Stegostoma tigrinum: one gene and its partner. Each later gene encodes a partner of the first gene's protein in a complex. Links are inferred from orthologs where the notes say so. Each region holds a gene or a part of one and is shown on either strand. Other genes may lie near its edges.

Region 1 (7,745 bases):
ACATGCACATTTAAAATATATAAAGAAAAAGATAGTAATTCCTTGCTGTTTTCTTTGGCTTTAATAACATGGGCTTGATCTAAGACAAGGATGTTGGGATTTAAAAGCAGTTGCCAATCCAAACAGACATCATTTAACAACTAGCCTTGAATTAACCTCAAACTGTGCCAGCTTACATCAATTTAGTACTGTGACTCTCAAGAACAGTTGGCCTAAACTCATCCCCATATCAATTGCAGGCAGCTTTCTTAACAGCATCCATTTTATACATATCAAGGCGAGCTATTGAGACCTAAATTTCCCCCTCAAACAGCAATATGATAATGACCTGAAAATTTCTGGGGTTTAGTTTTGGGATTTCAAAAGGAGACAAACATTGGCCAGGAAATATATAGAATCATAGAATGATACTACACAGAAAAAGGGTATTTGACTCATCATGCTGTACCATTCTTTAAAACTTATGAATTAGTCCCACTGGTCTCAATTTCCCCATAACCCTGTAAAACTTTTCACTTGAAGTGTTTATCTGATTTCCTTTTGAAATACCGTAAGGAAAAGGAGTAGGCTATTCAGCCCTTCAAGCCTGCTCTGCCATTTAATAGGATTGTGGTTGATCCATCACTCATGTCCATTTTTCTGCCCTTGATTCCCCAACTGATCAAAAATCTAGCTATCTATATATCTCAGCCTGAAATATACACGAGGACTCTGCCTCACAGCCCTCCGTGACAAGGAGTTCCAAAAACTCACTACCCACTGAGATAAGAAATTCCTCCCAAGAGAGAATACATCCTCTCAACATTTACCCTGTCAAGCCCCTTAAGAATCCCATTTATTTCAATGAGATCATCTCTCATTCTAAACTCCAGTGAGTAAAGTCTCAACCCGTTTAGCCTTTGGTCATAAGACAATCCCTCCATATCGGATCATCCTAGTGGACGTTCTCTGAACTGCTTCCAATAGTATATTTTCTTAAATGAGGGAACCAAAACTGCTCACAGTAGTCCAGATGTGGTCTCACTGGTAAACATGCAGTAAGACTCTTACACACCAAACCCCTTGAAATAATGGCCAAAATTCCACAAGCCTTCCGAATTACCTGCTGCACCTGTGTGTTAGTTTAAGATAACAGGGTGTAGAGTTGGATGCACACAGCAAGCCAGGCAGCAGAGGAGAAGGAAAGCTGATGCTTCAGGTCTGGACCCTTCTTCAGAAAATCAAGACCTTTTTGAAGAAGGGTCCAGACCTGAACCATTAGCTCTCTGTTCCTCTGATGCTGCCTGGCCTGCTGTGTTCATCCAGCTCTATACCTTGTTGGCTCAGACTCCAGCATCGGCAGTTCCTACTATCTGTGTCAACAAAGTGTGGAGCTGGATGAATATAGCAGGCCAAGCAGCATCTAGGGAGCACAAAAGCTGACGTTTTGGGCCTGCTATGTTCAGCCAGCTCACACTTTGTTATCTCAGATTCTCCAGCATCTGCAGTTCCCATTATCTCTGACCCCTACTATCTGTGTGCTAGTTTTCTGTGTTTAATGAACCAGTCTTGCCGAGTCCCTTTGTGTTGCAGCTTTCAGTGTTTTTTTCTCTTTCCATTTAAATAATATTATGCTCTTTGTTCTCCCTTCTAAAATGAACTTCACACGTACACACATTATCCTCCAACTGCTAAATTTTTGCCCATTTACTTGACCGATCAACACCTCTCTTGTATCGTTTGTGTACCCGTTGTAACCTGAGTTACCACCTATTTTGTGCTGTCTGCAAATTTGGCTGCAGTACATTCACTTCCTTCCTCAAGTCATTAATATATTGTAACAGTCACAGCATTGATATCCATAAAACCCCAGATATTACAAGTCACCAACACGAAAAAGAATCCCTTATCCCCACTAACTGCTTCTTTACCATTAGCCAAATCTCTGACAATGCTGTTGTACTACCTCCAATACCTTTTGTGAGGTACTTTGTCCGACAACTTCTGGAAGTCAAAATATAATGTTTAAACATCTTTCATCAGAGTGACTGCAGATGTAGCTGATTAAAATAATAAATGTGACATTTACCAAGCAAAAATCCAAACATATAATATTTTATTTTCTGAACATCTTTAGGTTACATCCCACCAACTACTCAGTTTCCCTGAAACATGAATTACAGTAATTATGCCAAAGTACTAAATAAAAATAAGGAAAAGCTTTAAAATAGGGGCTAAATTATAGAAGCTAGGATCAGAAGTAGTCCATTTGGCACTTTGGGCGTGCACCATCCTTCAATAAGACCATGGCTGATTCTCTATTTTACCACTTTCTCTCAATAAACCTTTCCATCTTTAATATCTAAAAGAAAGATCAGTTTCTATCTTGAGTATGCACAGCATCCAGGCCTCTCAGTCTTCTGAGGCTGACCATGCATTGACTGAAGAAATATTGCTCCATCTCAGTCTTACATTATATCCTGAGACTGTAACCCCCGGTTTTGGATGCCCCAGCCAAGGACACCGTTCCTGCAACTAGTCTGTCCAGCTCTGTTAGAATTTTATATGTTTCAATAAGATACCCTCTCATGCTTCTAAACTCAAGTGAACACAAGCCCAGTCAAATCAATCTCTTCTCATATTGCAGTCCTGCCATCCCCAATGCAGCCTGGTAAACCTTGGCTAAATTCCCTCCATGGTCAGTAGACCCTCTCTTTGGTAGAGAGAGCAAAACTACACAAAACACCACGTGTACTCTCACCAATGTCCGGCACAACTGCAGTAGGGCAGATTTTCGATGTGTTTGATTCACTTGCTATTTCTTTATTTCCTATTATAATTGCATTTATTTCTAATTGTTTGGGGCCGACATACACCTTCACTAATCTTTTCCTCTTTGTAAGTGTCCCATCTTTCACCTGATTAAGGCAGTTAGTCTTCATCTCCCCAACAGATAAATATTTTTAAGTAATACTACACAAAAAAAATTAAAATATAAAGAACAAATATTAATTTTATATTGGCAACTGAATTGCAGCTGCATGCTGAGGTCCTGCCCTATAATCCTACGTTCCCCTTCAACTGAACACAATTTGTGATCATTTCCAATGTGTAAAAATACTGGAAACTGACTGATATTAAATAATACATTGTATAATGCACTATTAATGATAAAACTGCCTATCCTGTGTACTTAAATCTGAAATCCTCTGGTCCATACACAATGTCAATAACACAGAATGTTACAGCATAGAAAGGAACCATTCAGCTCGTTTTGCCAGTACTTGTTATTTGGTTAGTTCCAACCTTCCAGCTTTTTCACATATTTTTGTCTTGTATTTTCCTATTAAAGTATTTATCCAGTTCCCTCGAAGACTATCATTGAATTGGATCAGCTCTTACTTAGTCAGAAGATTTTATCCTGCAGCAGGGCTTAAATACAAAATTCAAGGATAACACTCCTGTGCTGTACCAAGGAAGTGCTGTATAATTAGAGGAGTGATACTTCAGAAAAACACATTAAACGTTCCATCCCAGACAGGTGTAAAAGATCCTATTGCACTATTGTGTAGAACACAAACTCTCCCAATGCCCTGTCCAATATCTACCTTTCAACCCATTCTTTTCCTATGGCAAAAACAGAAAAGCCTGGAGAAACTCAGTAGGTCTGGCAGTGTCTGTGGTGACAGAAGCAGAGTTAATCTTTTGACTTAGATATGACTTCTTCAGTAAAACAGATTAACTTTTCATTATCTCATTGCTAAAATAAAACAAAGAATTGGCGCAGGAAATTGGAAGCAAAAAGAGAAATTGCTGGCAAAACTCTGCTTTCTCTCCTCAGATGCAGCCAGACCTGCAGAGTTTAACATTTCAAGTTCAGTAACCCTTCTTCAGAACTGGGTACAAGACTTCAACTTTGTTTCTCTCTCCACGGCTGCTGCCATACTAGCCAAATTTCTCCAGCAATTTTTGTTTCTATTATTTCATCACCATTTGTCGGAGATCAATGTGAGCAAACTGGCTACCACATGTTAGAAGTAACTGCACTTCAACAGTTGATTCACTGGCTTTAAAATGCTTGAAGATATGCTGTGGTCTTGGGGGTGCTACAGAAATGCAATCCTTTTACCTCACAACGCCCCTTTGAAAACTGCCAATGAGTCTATGCTTCCAGGTAATGAAACATTCAGCCTATCCTGAAGAAAGGTCACTGAACACGAAAGGTTAATTCTGCTTTCTGTCCAAAGATGCTGCCAGACCCTGCTGAGTTTCTCCAGCTGTTTCTGTCTTTGTTGCTGAAACATTCAGTTTAATTGGCATATGAAGGCTTTGGTTCATTTAAAAGAAATAAACGTTACTCCTTTTAAGTACCTTGACCAATACATGTCCCACGTCAGTGTTGCTGTTTGCCATGTTGTGGAGACAGTTCAGTTTCTGCCAGCTCTCACCATCCGTCCATTGCCTGTTGTCATCCACCTGGCCCTCCTGGGGTTCCCATGGCAACTGAACACAGCCTCTACCATATGAAAATAGGGAAATTACTAACTTAACGGTGAATAGAAAGTTACTCATTCTCAGCTCCAGCAATCCATTGTTCTAACAAGATACAACCTCTACAATGTTCTGAAATACCTCGTCACTCCTTGACTTTTTTTCTTGCTCACACTTGTAAGCGATGAAAGCCAGCGTTGAAACCCCCCCCAGCACAATGGTACATTCCACACCCCGAGGCCGAAAAGATTGAAAACCGAGGCTCCAGCAGGAGTAAAATGTGGCATTAGACGTGCCAGACTTAGATAGTATCTCCTGTATGGTGCGGTTTGGAGGGGAGGGGAAAGGGCAAGTTCCAGTACGAAGTGAAAGGCGTCTTTGACACCGGCGGCTGTTCGGGTGAGAGGTCAGAGTTCAGGGTCGGACTGGGCCGAGCCGAGTCGGGATGAAGGTTCCCAGCGTTTTGCTCGTCAGCTGCTGCCCGGGTTTTGTGGAGGAGACGCTAGTGAAAGGTGAGTGGAAGTACCAAGGCTGGGAAGGTAACGTGGCCTCCCGTGCACTTTGCCTCCCCGGGATGGAGGAGGCCTGACATCCCGACAGTCAAAAGCTGAGATAATAAAATGTGAGGCTGGATGAACACAGCAGGCCAAGCAGCATCTCAGGAGCACAAAAGCTGACGTTTCGGGCCTAGACCCTTCATCAGAGAGGGGGATGGGGGGAGGGGGAGGCGGACCGAAGATGGAGAGTAAAGAAGATAGGTGGAGAGAGTATAGGTGGGGAGGTAGGGAGGGGATAGGTCAGTCCAGGGAAGACGGACAGGTCAAGGAGGTGGGATGAGGTTAGTAGGTAGATGGGGGTGCGGCTTGGGGTGGGAGGAAGGGATGGGTGAGAGGAAGAACAGGTTAGGGAGGCAGAGACAGGTTGGACTGGTTTTGGGATGCAGTGGGTAGAGGGGAAGAGCTGGGCTGGTTGTGTGGTGCAGTGGGGGGAGGGGATGAACTGGGCTGGTTGAGGGATGCAGTGGGGGAAGGGGAGATTTTGAAACTGGTGAAGTCCACATTGATACCATATGGCTGCAGGGTTCCCAGGCGGAATATGAGTTGCTGTTCCTGCAACCTTCGGGTGGCATCATTGTGGCAGTGCAGGAGGCCCATGATGGACATGTCATCAAGAGAATGGGAGGGGGAGTGGAAATGGTTTGCGACTGGGAGGTGCAGTTGTTTGTTGCGAACTGAGCGGAGGTGTTCTGCAAAGCGGTCCCCAAGCCTCCGCTTGGTTTCCCCAATGTAGAGAAAGCCGCACCGGGTACAGTGGATGCAGTATACCACATTGGCAGATGTGCAGGTGAACCTCTGCTTAATGTGGAATGTCATCTTGGGGCCTGGGATGGGGGTGAGGGAGGAGGTGTGGGGACAAGTGTAGCATTTCCTGCGGTTGCAGGGGAAGGTGCCGGGTGTGGTGGGGTTGGAGGGCAGTGTGGAGCGAACAAGGGAGTCACGGAGAGAGTGGTCTCTCCGGAAAGCAGACAGGGGTGGGGATGGAAAAATGTCTTGGGTGGTGGGGTCGGATTGTAAATGGCGGAAGTGTCGGAGGATAATGCGTTGTATCCGGAGGTTGGTAGGGTGGTGTGTGAGAACGAGGGGGATCCTCTTGGGGCGGTTGTGGCGGGGGCGGGGTGTGAGGGATGTGTCGCGGGAAATGCGGGAGACACGGTCAAGGGCGTTCTCAATCACCGGGTGGAAATGGTTTGCGACTGGGAGGTGCAGTGGAAATGGTTTGCGACTGGGAGGTGCATCCACTCCCCCTCCCATTCTCTTGATGACATGTCCATCATGGGCCTCCTGCACTGCCACAATGATGCCACCCGAAGGTTGCAGGAACAGCAACTCATATTCCGCCTGGGAACCCTGCAGCCATATGGTATCAATGTGGACTTCACCAGTTTCAAAATCTCCCCTTCCCCCACTGCATCCCTCAACCAGCCCAGTTCATCCCCTCCCCCCACTGCACCACACAACCAGCCCAGCTCTTCCCCTCTACCCACTGCATCCCAAAACCAGTCCAACCTGTCTCTGCCTCCCTAACCGGTTCTTCCTCTCACCCATCCCTTCCTCCCACCCCAAGCCGCACCCCCAGCTACCTACTAACCTCATCCCACCTCCTTGACCTGTCCGTCTTCCCTGGACTGACCTATCCCCTCCCTACCTCCCCACCTACACCCTCTCCACCTATCTTCTTTACTCTCCATCTTCGGTCCGCCTCCCCCTCTCTCCATATTTATTCCAGTTCCCTCCCCCCATCCCCCTCTCTGATGAAGGGTCTAGGCCCGAAACGTCAGCTTTTGTGCTCCTGAGATGCTGCTTGGCCTGCTGTGTTCATCCAGCCTCACATTTTATTATCTTGGAATCTCCAGCATCTGCAGTTCCCATTATCTCTGATACTATTTTAACCCCCAGTCAAAAGCTGAGAGGCGGCCTCGGTATGACCGGCGCTGGGATGGTGATGTGGGAGGCCTCTTACCATGGGATGGGGGCGGGTCACTCCATTCCCCATTTATATTAACCCCCCCAATTGAATTACATTGAATCTGTTCCACTTCTGTGTATAATAACCTGGGCTGACGCTCCATGTAGAGCCTTGAGAGAGAGCTGCTTAGCTGAGACCCCATTTGCCCTCGAGTAGATGCAAAAGATGTGTTGGAGCAACTGCATTTTAAAAGACGGTGCGCTGGCCAGTATTTACAATTGAAATGATGCAGTACTGGTGGGAGCCGGCATAGTTTAATGTGTACTTAAGAAAAATGGACTTTAAAAGGAACTCCGTTTCAGGGAAGGTGAAACTTAGAGGGCTGGTCAGATGTACAAAGAAATAGCCAGCTCTAGAGATAACAACGGTAGGGGTGGAGGCTTCAGTGGCCAATGAGCTAAGACGGAGTTGATGCCGAACCGTGCTATGGAGATAGTAATAAGTGCCCTGAGTGATTCCATGGGTATGTGGTTGGAAGCTTAACGTCAGGTGTGATACTAATATTGCAAACTGCCTAGTTCACTCTCCTGTTTGCTGGGGGGAGGGATGGAGTTGGTAGTTAGGGAGCAGTTTGTCGTGGAGACAGAAGACATATAAAAGCAAAGTAATTTGCTGGATAGCTGAAATAAAAACAGAAAGTGCTGAAGAAACTCACCAGGTCAGGCAGCATCTATGGGGTGAGAAACAAAGTTTTTTTGAGTCTGTGACTTCCTCCAAATACAGACGACAGTGGCTTTGGTTTTCCCCAT
Region 2 (7,548 bases), on another chromosome or scaffold:
TTCCTGGATTATCCCTGTTGTCCTTCTAAAACAAAGGAACAACATTAACTTTTCTCCAGTCCTCTTTAGTCCTGTGACTAAAGAGGAATCAAAGATTTCATATAAGGTCCCAGAAATTTTCTCTCTTACCTCCCTCAGCTTTCTGGATAGATCCCTTCAAGTCCTGGGGACTTGTTTACCTTAATGATTTTCAAAACACCCAACACCTCCTCCTCTTTTATATTTACGTACCCTAGAATATCAACATACCCTTGTCTAAACTTATGGTCCACCGTGGCCTTCTCCTTTGTGAATATCAATGCAGGGTATTCATTAAAGGGCACACTCACATCCTCTAACTCCATGCATAAATTTCTTCCTGTATCTTTGTGCACTTGCCCATTCCCTAGCTATATTCTTGCTGAATTTTCCATAAATCTGTTTGCCAATGTCATTTCATGGTCCCTTTTAGCCCTCTGAACTCCTTGTTTTAGTTCTTTACTGTTTTCTTTATATTCTTCAGGGTTCTTACAGACTAGGTCAATTACAGACCAGTAAGTCTCACGTCTGTTGTCTGCAAGGTGTTAGAAAGGATTCTGAGGGATAGGATTTATGACCATCTGGAAGAGCATGGCTTGATTAAATGCAGTCAACACGGTTTTGTGAGAGGCAAGTCATGCCTCACAAACCTTATCGAGTTCTTTGAGGATGTGAAAAGTTGATGAGGGTCGAGCTGTGGATGTGGTGTATATGGACTTCAGCAAGGCATTTGATAAGGTTCCCCATGGTAGGCTCATTCAGAAGGTCAGGAGGAATGGGACACAGGGGAACTTAGCTGTCTGGATACAGAATTGGCTGGCCAACAGAAGGCAGCGAGTGGTAGTAGAAGGAAAATATTCTGCCTGGAAGTCAGTGGTGAGTGGTGTTCCACAGAGCTCTGTCCTTGGGCCTCTACTGTTTGTAATTTTTATTAATGACTTGGATGAGGGGATTGAAGGATGGGTCAACAAGTTGGCAGACGACACGAAGGTTGGAGGTGTGGTTTACAGTATAGAGGGCTGTTGTAGGCTGCAGTGGGACATTGACAGGATGCAGAGATGGGCTGAGAGTTGGCAGATGGAGTTCAACCTGGATAAATGCGAGGTGATGCATTTTGGAAGGTCAAATTTGAAAGCTGAGTACAGGATTAAGGATAGGATTCTTGGCAGTGTGGAGGAACAGAGGGATCTTGGTGTGCAGATACATCGATCCCTTAAAATGGCCACCCAAGTGGACAGGGTTGTTAAGAAAGCATATGGTGTTTTGGCTTTCATTAGCAGGGGGATTGAGTTTAAGAGTCGTGAGATCTTGTTGCAGCTCTATAAAACTTTGGTTAGACCGCACTTGGAATTCAGAAGGTCAGTTCTGGTCGCCCTATTATAGGAAAGATGTGGATGCTTTGGAGAGGGTTCAGAGGAGGTTTCCCAGGATGCTGCCTGGACTGGAGGGCTTATCTTATGAAGAGAGGTTGACTGAGCTCGGACTTTTTTCATTGGAGAAAAGGAAGGAGGAGCGGGGACCTAATTGAGGTATACAAGATAATGAGAGGCATAGATAGAGTTGATAGCCAGAGACTGTTTCCCAGGGCAGAAATGGCTAACACAAGGGGTCATAGTGGTTGGAGGAAAGTATAGAGGGGATGTCAGAGGCGGGCTCTTTACACAGAGAGTTGTGAGAGCATGGAATGTGTTGCCAGCAGCAGTTGTGGAAGCAAGGTCATTGGGGACATTTAAGAGACTGCTGGACATGCATATGGTCACAGAAATTTGAGGGTGCATACATGAGGATCAATGGTCTGCACAACATCGTGGGCTGAAGGGCCTGTTCTGTGCTGTACTGTTCTATGTTCTATGTTCTATCTGACTTCAGTTTCCTAAACCTTAGGTATGCTTCCTTTTTGTTTCTGACTAAGCTCGTAATTTCTCTTGTCACCCAAGATTCCCAAATTGTGACAATCTTATCCTTAATTTTCACAGGAACATGTTGGTCCTGAACTTGAATCAACTGGCCTTTAAAAGATTCCTACATAACAGATGTAGATTTACCATCGAATAAGCACCCACAATCGACAGTCCCCAATTCCTGCTTAATATCATCACAGTTAGCATTTCCCCAGTTTAGTACTTTTACCCAAGGACTATTCTTATCCTTATCAATAAGTAACTTAAAACTAACGGAATTATGATTCCCAAAATGCACCCCAACTCGAACTTTGATCACCTGCCAGGTTCATTCTTCAATATCAGGTCTAAAATGGCCCCTTCCGTAGTTGGACTATTTACATATTGCTTCAAGAAACCCTCCTGGACTAGTCTAACTAACACCTATCCAAGCCTCTGGCACTAAGGGAGTCCCAGTCAATACATATACAAACTTAAAACCTCCCACTGCAACAACCCTGATGTCTTCACATTTCTCCATAATCGGTACACAATTTTGTTTCTTCACCCACTGGTTACAGACAGCATGTAGTACAACCCTGTCATAGTGATTGCACCCTTCCTATTTCTGAGCTCTACTCATATGGCCTCGTTGAATGAGCGCTCCAACGCCTCCTCTCTCAAAGTAGTTGTGATATTCTCTCGACTCAATACTGCAACTCCTCCACCTCTTTCACGCCCCTGTCAATCTCACCTGAAACATCCAAATCCTGGAACATTAAGCTACCAGTCTTGTCCCTCTCGTAATCAAATCTCTGAAATAACTACATAAATAACTATATGATAAGTTCATTTGCCTTACCTGTAATACATTTTACGCTAAAGCTAATGCACCTCAGACAGCCAGCCTCCACAATATCCTCTTCCTGCCTGTTCTTTTGCATAGCTTTACTCTCAAACTTCTTGGTTATTTCACTTGATGAATTACTGCCTTGATTTCCGCCCTGCTGCCTTACTAGTTTAAACCCTCTTGAGTGACAATACTGCCAAGTCTCCCTGGCAGTAAACTGGATCCCCTCCAGTTTAGGTGCAACCTGTCCTTCTTATATTGCTTCCACCTGCCCTGGAAGACATCCCAATGACCAACATATCAGAAGCCCTCTCTCCTACACCAGCCCATTCACCATATTTTTAACTGTACTCTCATCCTATTCCTAGTCTCACTGGCACATGGCACAGGGGATAATTCTGACATTACAACCCTAGAGATCCTGCTTTTCAACTTACTTCCTAACTTCCTGAACTCCCTTTTCAGAACCTTCCTGCCATTGTCATTAGTACCAATATGTGCCATGAGCACAGGCTGCTCGCTCTCCCTTTTGAGAATGTCCTGTATGCCCTCAGAGAATCCATGACCCTGGCATCAGGTGCTGGTGTAGGGGGGGAAACAACACACTATTGTGGGGAGTCCCTTTCGCTCCACAGAAGTGCCTATCTGTGCCCCTTAATTTGTGAACACCTTAATGGGAACACCAATGGCTTGCAAACTCAGCCAAATCGAGCTCCTGGGAAGTGTTTATTGTACCCCATTTTCAAAGTTTAGTAGACTACCACAATGTGAAGGATTCATAGGTTACACCTGTGTTGTTATACTTGCTTCCTTCTTTAGCTATGCCACCAACTATGTAATGGGAAAAGACTTTGCTCTTTCAATATTTGACTTGTTTGGAATTAGCAGAACTCGGACAGGCAAATGATCCCTTACATTCATGGCAGCTTGCCCTCATGTTTTGTTTCCATCACTTCCAGTGCACTGTTCTGTCTCCCAGAACTCAACAACCTTCACCATTTTGTGGGTAAAGTGGTGGAGCACAATGTCCCTTCAACTTTTCTCATCCTGATGGCCTGCCATCATTTTCAAAAAGAATGAAGCAGTAATTGTATTTTGGGCCCTGTACAAATCAAATGACTACATGCTAGACTGGTTAAAATGTTCATTTTTAAGGAATGCTTTAATGACTGAAAGAGAGGTAGAGAGAATCCGTAAGGGAATTGTCCAGCTTAGGATTTTGACAGTTGAAGGTAGAGCACTATTTAAAATCAGGTAGACTCAAGAAAACTGAATTGATGTAGTGTTGAGATCGAGATCTTAAGGGCACATGGATGAAAAAGATCATAGCAATTGAGCGAATAGATTCACTTGGAACAATTTGGAAACAGGAATGAAGTTAAGATTGATCAGGACATTGAGCAACTAAAATAATACAAAGGCATATAAATGTAATTAAGTACATTTATAAATAACATAGCATATAGAATATTTTACATTCATTTGCTTGACAGAAGTTTTTACTGAACTGTAGAATTTTAAAATCGTCATTACATAACTTGTCACACTCAAAGAATAACTAATAAATTAAATGGTAATATATTTTTTGCAAGCTTAATAAGATTTTGTCTGTCCTACATGTGTAACACATGAAATATTAATGGCTCAATGAACTGTACAATGAAACAATAAAGTAGTAAAGATTCTCTAAACTGCTGTTTTAATGCAGGTTAATATGTAATCCCAGGGCAGGGAGGAGCCTTAAACACACAGAATTGTGGGATAACTACTATAGGTTCCTGAATGCAAGCTTCCCAGGAAATGTTTTGTGTTCAGATTTTGAGGTTAAATCCATCCATCCATCTTTTGCTTTAAGGCAGAATGGTAAGTTTTTTTCTTAAAAAAATGCATTTTTTTTTCTTAGGAGTGTCTTAGATCTAATTACAGAGTAATGTTGGCAAGCGTAGATATCAGTTACTTCACCTGTTTCTGCAGGTGAAAATACAAGTACTCACCTGGCCTATATTGAAAAGAATAGTTTAGTAATATTTAGTTTAAAACACTTACTGTGCTTTAAATAAACAGATTAGGCAATATACTATGTAAAATATTAAAGGCTATAGTTTACAAGATTTTGAAGTCAATTATACAGGCAGTATTATAACTCTATTAGCTACCTTTGTATTTAACTAATCAGGTTTGAAGGCATTGCTGAGATTAGAGTGGAGATTTAGTTTATTTGAATCAAAATCATTACTCAAAACGATTTTATACTAATGGTAAATAACCCATAATGCAGCGGCTGTCTCATTTTAAAATAAAGACCAAATGCTGGAAATCTGAAACAAAAACAGAAAAGCATTTGATGGTTAAAAGTTAGAATTCCAAATGCAAACCTAGAATCTAAACAAAAGGGAGAAAAGCCTTTTTAGAAATGAGAAACCAGTCCAACAAAGTGATTTTTGTATGACAAGCAGGACATTTAAAACTCCATGAAAATGTAGGAAATAGCGAGTTTTGAGAAGATTTGTAGCTCAGGTTGAGTTTCTGGATGTGAGTTTGCTCGCTGAGCTGGAAGGTTAGTTTTCAGACGTTTCGTCACCTTTTTTTTCTATTTGAAAAAATATACTTTATTCATAGAATGTGCAAAAAATAAAACATTTATACACCTACCCAGTCATGCAAGCCACTCCGGGTTACCCAGGGGGTACGTACACCAACTAAAGGAAAAAACAAAAGAGAGAAAAAAAACACAAAGCAAAGAAACCGCCCCGGCAGTCGTCACCCCGCACAGTCCCAGTTGGCCCCCTGACCAGTTGGGGAAGGCGCCAGCTGGGCCCAGTTACCAGATAGGGCCCTTTTTTCTATTCTGGACGAGGGGTTTCATACCGTGGTCTTTCCCCACCGCGCCTTGGCGGTGGCTGCCCCAAGCTTTAGCGCGTCCCTCAGCACGTAGTCCTGGACCTTGGAGTGCGCCAGTCTGCAACACTCGGTCGGGGTCAGTTCTTTCAGCTGGCAGACCAAGTTGCGGGCAGACCAAAGAGCGTCTTTCACCGCATTGATGGTCCTCCAGGTGCAGTTGATGTTGGTCTCGGTGTGCGTCCCCGGAAACAGCCCGTAGAGCACGGAGTCCCGCGTCACAGAGCTGCTCGGGATGAACCTCGACAAATACCACTGCATCCCCCTCCAGACCTCCTGCGCATAGGCACACTCCAGAAGGAGGTGATCGACAGTCTCGTCCCCCCTGCAGCCACCTCAAGGGCAGCGAGCGGTGGTGCAGAGATTCTGGGCGTGCATAAAGGATCTCACTGGCAGAGCCCCTCTTACCGCCAGCCAAGCAATGTCCTTGTGCTTGTTTGAAAGTTCTGGCGATGAGGCATTCTGCCAAACGACTTTGGCAGTCTGCGTGGGGAACCACACGACGGGATCCACCCTCTCTTTTTCCCGAAAGGTCCCAAGGATACTACGTGCTGACCACTGCCTGACGGCCTTGTGGTCAAAGGTGTTTCCTTTCAAAAATTTCTCCACGAAGGACAGGTGGTACGGAACGGTCCAACTACTCGGAGCGTTCCGCGGCAACGAGGCCAGGCCCATCCTTCGCAACACCGGGGACAGGTAGAACCTCAGTAAGTAGTGACACTTGGTGTTTGCATACTGAGGATCTACGCACAGCTTGATGCAGCCGCACACAAAGGTAGCCGTCAGGGCGAGGGTGGCGTTCGGTACACCCTTTCCCCCATTTCCCAGGTCTTTGTACATGGTGTCTCTGCGGACCCGGTCCATCCTCGACCCCCAAATGAAATGGAAGATGGCCCGGGTGACCGCAGCGGCGCAGGTCCAGGGAATAGGCCAGGCCTGCGCCACATACAACAGTACCGAAAGCCCCTCGCACCTGACAACCAGGTTCTTACCCGCGATGGAGAGGGACCGGAGCGTCCAACTGCCCAGCTTCTGCTTCAATTTGGCGATACGCTCCTCCCAAGTCTTAGTGCATGCCCCAGCTCCACCAAACCAAACACCCAGCACCTTCTGGTAGTCTGTCCTGACGGTGAAGGGGATGAAGGAGCGGTCATCCCAGTTCCCGAAGAACATGACCTCGCTCTTACCCCTATTGACTTTGGCACCCGAGGCCAGTTCAAACTGGCCGCAGATGTCCAATAGTCTACTCACCGACTGACGATCGGTGCAGAAGACGGCGACATCGTCCATGTACAGGGAGGTCTTGACCTGAAGGCCTCCGCTGCCTGGGATAGTCACGCCCTTCAGGCTCACGTCCTTCCTGATGGAGGCGGCGAAGGGCTCCACACAGCACACGAACAAGGCAGGAGAGAGCGGGCAGCGCTGCCTGACTCCAGATCTAACAGGAAAACTGTCTGATTCCCACCCGTTGATCGGGACTGCGCTAACGATGTTGGCGTAGAGCAGCTGGATCCAATTGCGGATGCCCTCCCCGAACCCCAATTTGGAGAGGACGTCCCTCATGTAAGCATGAGAGACCCTGTCGAAGGCCTTCTCCTGGTCCAGGCTGACGAGGCAGGTGTCCACCCGCCTGTCCTGTACGTAGGCGATCGTATCCCTGATGAGCGCGAGGCTCTCAGCGATCTTCCTGCCTGGCACAGCACAGGTTTGGTCAGGGTGAATCACTGACTCCAGGACAGACCTGACCCGGTTGGCAATGAACTTGGCCAGGATTTTATAGTCCATGTTCAAAAGTGAAATAGGACGCCAATTCTTAATTTCTTCCCTCTCCCCCTTCCTCTTGTAAATGAGGGTGATGATGCCCTTCCTCATGGACTTGCACATTTCCCCTGCCCGAAGCGC

What was found.
Region 2: the proteins of aagab (region 1) and ap1s3a are in contact, whole or in part, in a crystal structure (PDB 9DDT), measured with the Homo sapiens proteins. The link is inferred for Stegostoma tigrinum from reciprocal best matches to the Homo sapiens genes AAGAB and AP1S3. Residues at the interface, in NP_078942.3 of Homo sapiens: Asn51, Lys52, Tyr53, Tyr54, Glu108, Val109, Met110, Ile111, Gln128, Ile132, Gly135, Phe136, Glu137, Asp151, Phe153, Pro154, Glu155, Arg161, Gln164, Ala165, Asn167, Ala168, Asn169, Val170, Met176; in NP_001034658.1 of Homo sapiens: Arg10, Gln11, Lys13, Arg15, Gln37, Leu40, Ser41, Arg61, Tyr62, Ala63, Ser64, His85, Val88, Asp92, Phe95, Val98, Glu100, Leu101, Asp102, Ile104, Phe105, Asn106.

What each region holds. Positions count from the first base shown.
Region 1 is NC_081386.1:30,744,825-30,752,569, forward strand, and holds the start of aagab (alpha- and gamma-adaptin-binding protein p34), read left to right. Parts: upstream 1-4,708; 5' UTR 4,709-4,915; coding exon 4,916-4,982; intron 4,983-7,745. Other genes in the region: iqch (IQ motif-containing protein H), read right to left, coding at 4,351-4,392. UniProt on the Homo sapiens protein: May be involved in endocytic recycling of growth factor receptors such as EGFR.
Region 2 is NC_081367.1:24,074,449-24,081,996, reverse strand, and holds the start of ap1s3a (AP-1 complex subunit sigma-3a), read left to right. Parts: upstream 1-4,501; 5' UTR 4,502-4,608; coding exon 4,609-4,611; intron 4,612-7,548. UniProt on the Homo sapiens protein: Subunit of clathrin-associated adaptor protein complex 1 that plays a role in protein sorting in the late-Golgi/trans-Golgi network (TGN) and/or endosomes.